2 linked regions of the Danio rerio genome follow. Each later gene encodes a partner of the first gene's protein in a complex. Links are inferred from orthologs where the notes say so. Each region holds a gene or a part of one and is shown in the gene's direction. Other genes may lie near its edges.

The links. Proteins that work in one complex are often made in the same cells at the same time.
Region 2: g3bp1 (region 1) and elavl4 share a complex: the UniProt entries of both Homo sapiens proteins name them as parts of the TAU mRNP complex. The link is inferred for Danio rerio from reciprocal best matches to the Homo sapiens genes G3BP1 and ELAVL4.

The regions. Positions count from the first base shown.
Region 1 is NC_133189.1:30,202,978-30,206,634, reverse strand, and holds part of g3bp1 (ras GTPase-activating protein-binding protein 1), read left to right. Parts: intron 1-1,990; coding exon 1,991-2,081; intron 2,082-2,187; coding exon 2,188-2,278; intron 2,279-3,316; coding exon 3,317-3,527; intron 3,528-3,645; coding exon 3,646-3,657. UniProt on the Homo sapiens protein: Protein involved in various processes, such as stress granule formation and innate immunity. Plays an essential role in stress granule formation.
Region 2 is NC_133183.1:17,770,474-17,774,230, forward strand, and holds the start of elavl4 (ELAV-like protein 4), read left to right. Parts: upstream 1-1,532; 5' UTR 1,533-2,012; coding exon 2,013-2,060; exon of another isoform or gene 2,061-2,617; coding exon of another isoform or gene 2,618-2,746; intron 2,747-3,757. UniProt on the Homo sapiens protein: RNA-binding protein that is involved in the post-transcriptional regulation of mRNAs. Plays a role in the regulation of mRNA stability, alternative splicing and translation.

The DNA.
Region 1 (3,657 bases):
AATAGAACATTGAGTGAAGATTATGAACAGTTCTTCTGAACATGGCATCTTTTGCCTACTCCTTGCTGCCAGAGACTTGACAGTGCTTCTCACAAATCTGAACCACATTTGGCTTTAGAGCGGAAGCAGTTGAGACCCTCAGTATGGCTTGCGGGAACTCACTCAAAACTTCCATTCCCTCACCTAAAAAAAAGGCGTATATATGTATAAATAAAACACCCCCACCCCACTCCAGTCACATCAGTTTGTACCAGTCTGTATCTACCTATAATATATATAAGATGCAGGCTATAGCTAGGTAGGTGGCAGGATGCAGATAGGTAGCTAAGTGGCAGGCAGGGGCGGGAACAGCTTACCTTGGTTCTGGCCGGCGCGAGTTCCCTCCTACACTGACGTCACAGCTCTCTCTCCCCGCTCCGCTGATTCTGTCAGTGTACAGCGGTCGGCGCGGGCCACAAAATATTGCACTGAGGGCCGCAAATGGCCCGCGGGCCGCGAGTTTGAGACCCCTGATTTAAAGGATTAGTTCAACCAAAAATAAAAATGATTAATTCGTTCCAATCCCATTGGACTTTCATTCATCTTCAAAACACAATTTAAGATGCTTTAGATTGAGTTCTGAGAGCTTTCAGACCGTCTTTAAAAACCAAGAGTTGTGAGATTTTCAAATTTCAGAAAAGAAACCAAAAGCATTACATATGACTTCACTGGTTCGACTGTAAATATATGAAGCTACAAGAACACGTGTGCTAAATAAAACTGTAAACATGACATTTACCAATGTTTTTTTTTTTTTTTACTTTGTTAGTTAGTCAGGGTGCATGTTTAATAAGGAGATATGTGTTTTATGATATGGAGATGAGTAAAGTCAGCAGTGCTACACGCAAGCATTGTTTTGCATGCAATAAACATGCACTGGGGACTTGACATGGCTGAAGAGGACATAAATGAGTTTTCATTTCAATGAACTTACCCTTTAATAAAAGTAGTGTTCAGATTTAGTTAAACTCATAATTTTTATATACATTTGTATATTTTAGGATTGTAATGTATGTCAGAATAAAACAAAATGATTGAGAAATATAGACGTTAGGGCTTAGTGTTTTGCTTTAATTATTGTGCATCATCGATAGAGTTGACCAGTTACAAGTTTTTTTGTAAAGATTAACATGCTTTGAGAATACTCAACTAGTGATATTAATGGTCATGACTTTGATTTATTTAATTTGACCATTTCCTTTTTACTTAACGGATAATTTGCATTTAATGCGTGTTCGTTAATGTACATACTCATATCCTTTTATTACATTTTAAATATAAAGATCAAGCATATGAACTGACTGCAATATTTCAAGATAGTGTACCACTAATTGACCACTAAACCTTCCAGATTGATAGAGTGGTTTTATTTTTATGAAGAGTATCATCCAGTGATTCTAGAAAGTGTCTTAATATAACACCTCCATATCTAATTTTCAGCACATGCTGATTCAAGGGCAATGATTTAAGATGTCTTGACCAAACAGTCAGCAGTCCTTTGATTCCGTATGGGAAGCTATTGGTTTGAAACTGCAAACTATTCTAAAATAATATTCTTTTGTATTTATACATTTTTTACAGAGAATTGTTCATTAAATACTAATATGCACAGGTGAATGGGGTCAGTGATTGTGTACTTGTATTTTGAAATGTTTGGCTTAAATTTGCTTGCTATAAGGTCTAGTTTGTGTCCTCCCTAATTCTGTAGAATATCTTCAGTCCTTCAAATAAGCAATTTTTTTTTTACATTGAGCTGTGGTATTCAGTGCATTTGTTCAATTAAGATTTTCTAGTTATTTGAAGCCCTGAAAAGAATTAGCTGTTTTTTTATTTTTTATTTTTTTTTATTACTTGTGCAAGTCATTAGGGGTTGCTTACTAAATGAGGCACATAGCTTTTTTTCTTACTATTTTTTAGTTTTTTTATTCTTATTATTGTTTTGATCTTTTAGGGAACTGTTGCAAACAAGTTCTACGTACACAATGATATCTTCCGGTACCAGGATGAAGTGTTTGGGGACTCTGACTCAGAACCTCCTGAGGGTAAACCGCTGATATATTGTGGTATTTCTAGCATATTTGGAGTAATCTGTCTCCCAATTGCTCTCGCTGTGAGCAGATGAGTTCATTCATCTCCTGTTGTTCACAGAATCTGAGGAGGATGTGGAGGAGCTGGAGCGAGTGCACTCACCTGAGGTGGTCCAAGAGGAGTCTTCTGGGTATTACGAACAGACACCATGGTAATTTGTATTGAGTTTTGCAGCTCATTTAATCGTTCAGTTTGGCAACCATTCGAAAGGCAGGGTACAAATCATGCAGGTGTGTCAAGTCAAAACAAAATACACTCAAGTTTTGTCATTAACCTTAGTAAGCCCAAGTTACTGCAGGTTTAAATGTTTCTATTGGAATACTAGACTTTACAAGGTCTTCAAGGTGTTCAAAGCCTTTCTGGAATATCGGAGTTTTAAAAGGTGTATTCCAGAGGGTGAAAATCAGTGATGATGCCAATTCTAATTAAAGAGTTAATGACTTTGATTGGCAGAAAACTTTCTAATAATATGCATCAATGGTTGATTAATTTCTTGTTTTGCTGTAAAAAGGTACACATTTAAACCTCTTTTTCATAAAATTGTACCTCCACTATTAGTCTGTTTTATATAATTAGAACAATGAGATGATGACACTACCTTTTATCATATAAAGCGTACTACATGTTTTATAAATGAAATATTCTAGAAGGTCAAAATAAATAGCATTTAATTTTATCAACAACAGGATTATATTATTATTACAGCACTATATTAAAATGGAGCATTCAGTACAAAGATGGCCTTCCAATAAGCTTTGGCTGTATGTGTTTCTTTAATGTCATATGTCACGCACTGTTGTGCTTTGTCAACTTTCACACAGTGGATAAGTGCTTTATATATGCAGATCTAATGCAATTTAATATAAAACTATGCAGAATGTATTTAAACCATGTCCTTGCTGGCTAGATGATATCTGCTGCAGCTCTTATAGAGCTTCAAAGCAAGCTACTCTAAAATATCCGTCATTTATTTAGCATTAAATTCAGTTATTACCTAATCCCTAAAATCTGCAGGGAAACAACAGCTGCATCTTTTTCTATTCATTATAAGTAATGGATATCAGCTTTTTAATCAGGGAACTTGGCATTTTAGTTTAGAGTGGGAACCCTCTCTTAAGTATGATGCACATTTGAAAAACCGGTAAAGATTTGCTGAGTTGTGTCTTAATACACATTTGTGCAATTACAGTGTAGAGCCTGAGGTGCCCCAGGAAGAGGTGTCTGTAACCCCAGAGCCCCAGCCTGAACCAGAAGTGGAGGTGGAGCCGGAGCCAGCAGCTGTGGAGCTGAAAGCAGAGCCCATCAGCCAGCCTGAGGTTCATGTTGAGGAAAAGACTCAGAGATCTCCCCCATCGCCCACACCTGCTGACACCGCACCCACCATGCCAGAGGACAACCGGGTAAGACCACCCTCATTAATCACTGTCTTTTAGGTCCCTCTTGTCAACATGACCTGTACAGTCATTGCAGAAAGGACAAGAAAGGTCACCTGTAAAGTCAGATGCTTCTTGTTTTCAGCCATCTTCATGG
Region 2 (3,757 bases), on another chromosome or scaffold:
CAACCCCAGATTAGTAAAGGGACCAAACCGAAAAGAAAATGAATGAATAGATGAATAACTAACGTTAACAAATGGGGGTGGTGCGGTGGCACAGTGGCTAGCAATGTCACTTCACAGCAAGAAGGTCACTGATTCGAGCCCTGGCTAGCTAAGTTGGCATTTCTGTGTGGTGTTTGCATGTTTTTTAATGTAAGCGTAGGTTTCCTCCAGGTGCTGTAGTTCCCTCCACAGTCCAATAACATTGCTATGGGTGAATTGAATTAATTAAAACTAAATTGGCCATAGTGTATGTGTGTAAATAAGAGTGTATGGGAGTTTCTTAGTGATAGGTTGCCGCTGGAAGGTCATCCACTGAGTAAAAAATATGCTGGATAATTTAGCAGTTCATTCCACTGTGGCGACCTGTGATTAAAAAAGGGACCAAGCCGAAAAGAAAATGAACGAATGAATTAACGTTAACAAATATGAATACATATTGTAATAAATGCATTGGTCGTTGCTTGTTCATGTTAGTAAATACATTAACTACTATTACCTAATTCAACCTTATTGTAAAGTCTAACCAAATATTATAGCAAATTCCACAAGCAATTTTTAAGATCAGACTCCTTCACCAAACCACATAATGTATAAACTGTACTATATACTGTATATACAACAGCTCTAAAAGCTATTTACACCAAACCACATGTAAAAATGTATAAACTGTACTATACTATACAACTAAATGTATCATCAACACCACTGCCTCAAACACAGTTTGAAACCAAGTGCCAAATGTATCTAGACCTTTCAGAATGAACCAAGGTCATGTCTCATTAGCACACAAAAGCATCGTTCACAAGCTATGTACATTCCGTTAACATTCAGTGGATTCTTTCATTAAGATAAATACCACTTGGTTTGATATTTCATTACATAATGTAGTGGCATTTATATACACTGACTTGATACATAAGAGTCTAAACGCCTTTTGGGGCAACTGCAGCTTGAAAATCGAATTCACCAATATCTTTCTCTGCTGCCATTTCAGAGAAAGAGGCATGCCCGTTTCGCAAATATCCTCCGGGAACATCTCAGGAGGGGTTTTCTCCGGCTAGGTGCCACTGGTCAAAGTTTTCCTAATGCTATTGGTCTATAAATCAGCCCTGTTCTCTGCCATACATCAAATGCGGCTGTTGCAAAGCGATGGAGGAACAGGGGGGAGCCAGGGGAGAGTAGAATGGAGGTGTGCGGGTGCCAAAGCGATCATGTGTTCCCCGCAAGCAGCAGGAGGAGAGCCGTGAAGCCAAACAGAGAGAAAAAGATGAGCCAGGAAAGGCAGATGTGCCTGTGTCATGTCTGTTATGAACAGTCTTCCCACCTTGTGGTAACACTGTGAACTGTAACTGCAGGAGAGCGTGATCGAGAAATAGAGAGAGGGAGCGAGTGGAGGGTGGGGTGGGGGTAAAGAGAGATAGAGAGAGTGAGAGAGAGGGAGTGAGTGTGAGGAAGGGAGGGAGCAAGGAAGGAGAGAAAGAGAAAGGGTTGAGGGATGGAGAGAGAGAGAGAGGAGTTTAAACTAAGAGCTATGTTTTGGGACGAACTAATCTGCTAGAGAGCAGTGTGAGGATCGGAACGCATTGTGCGAGCGAGTGTGTGGAGGACAGATAAGGGAAGAAGCCCGGCAGACCGACTGCTTGTTTTAATGTGCTGACTCTGGGGAGCTAAAAAAAAAAAATATTGACTCTTCAGTCGTGCGGCGTGAGCCAGGGCACAAGCGCCACATTTAACAAGAGGTGCACCAGAAAACACGGGCGCAAGAGAGGAGAGAATACATCCAGCCAGACAGCACATATAGAGGATTTCTCCTTCCTTTTCTTCTTTTTTTTAATCTGTTCATTTTTCTTTCTTTTTTTATTTCTCGGGACTGATTCCCATTTCCAGTAAAGAAAAAGGAGCCGTAGAGCCAGGAGAACGCCAAAAAGAAAGCCCCGCAACAAAGCGACAAGAAACGAAACACCACCAACAAGATGTTTGAAATCAGCCGAACACTGAACGCTGCTTTGTTGAGCAATGAGGTAAAGGAATCGGATTTTCTTCTTCTTCTTCTGTCACCTCACTTCTCTAAGTGTGTGTTCATTATTACGTTGTGCGTAACGTTTCTATGTTTGATCATGCTTCTAAATGTGGCAGGTCTAAATGAATGTGCAGGGATTGAGCATTTAGGTCCAGTTAAACGGCTGCTAGCTGAAGGCAGAACCTCTTTGCTCTCCGGGCGTACTGTAATGGATGAGAGACTAGACTCGCTCTCTCTCTCTCCCTCTCCCACGCACAATCATTTCATTTTCTCATTTACTCAAAGCAAGATAGCTGTAACTGCTGAGCTTGCTTGATGACTTGCCCATCTGGGGCTTGCACTGACTGTGTGTGTGTCTGTTTGTGTGTGTGTGTGCAGGGTAAATGTGAACGTAAGCACTCGGCTCTTTATCACTGTGGCAGTTCAGTTTTCTCTTTTCCTTTCGCCACTTGCTTTTTCTTTAGCCTGTATATTTGGTTACCACCTTGGCTAGCATTCTGTTCTTCTCCTCTTCTCTTCTTTTCTCCTCTTCCCTGTAAACGCGCACCTCGCGAGCAGTGTCTGAAGATGATGGTAAGGTGTTCACAGAACTCGGCAGCAGCCCAGGCGGAAGGCTCCTTCCCAGGCATGGGCTCGCTGCTTTTCCCCCGAGATCCATCCAGCCAACTGGGGGCCAGGGCACTGGGGGTAAGAGGATAGACTGATGAACGAGAAAAATAGATGGCACAGTAGAACACTAACTTCATTTAGGTAAATGTGTGCAGCCCTAAGGCTTGAATTAGCCGATGTTTTCATGCCTCATTGTGTGATGATACGGCCGCCCACTAAGACTAGATCTTTCTATCAGTTAGCCAGAGAGAAATAGAAAGTGAGACAGATTGCGAGAGAAAAAGCAGCTTGTGCAAGTGTATTGTTTGTGTATTCCTGCTCAGAATGTGTTTGTGCCGTGGTGTACTGATGCCTGAAATTGAAAGTGCGCCGCGTGTGTATGTGAGTGCGTATGCTTTAAGTCATTTGAGCATAGTGCGTTTAGATGGCTAAAGGACAGATTTTTTTGCACGTTCATTTTGTTTCGGGTGTCATTTGGAATTTTAAACAACTTTCTGAATGTGTGGTGCTGTGCAAAACATATGCCTGGATATTAACAGTCAGTTACAAGACTAGCTCAACTTAAACAATATGCCAGTGGCTCTGCTGTGTTTCTTCTTTAATTTGTAGCATCAAAAATAAAACTTCAGTTTCATTTCTCCACTGATAGGTGGCCTAACTTGCAGATAAATAGCTGGCTAAGGCTTTTCCTGATTATAATGAATGTGTTTTCACTTAAGTCTGGAGCTCTGATAGTGGGTATTCATCCTTATGTTCTCATTCAGTCATTTTTGATCTTCTACTACAGTCTTGGGGGGGAAGAGAGATGGCTGTATGGGAAAGCCCTGGCTGGCTGGCTGGTGCTGTAAGCGCCGGTCGGTTAAGAATAAATCCCTGACTTGGTGCATTAAATCGACACGAAACTGTGGGTGTCTAATCTGTGATGGGCTCTCGTTCCTCGTCTCCACAAAACAGGATCAGCCTGCCTGCCTGGAGCCGCACCACATTCTCACACAAATCAGACTCATACTGACAGCACTGGAGCTCCTCTGCCAGTGAAAAAACACACACACACATACACTGCGATCGCATGCAGCTGGATGGTTTTAG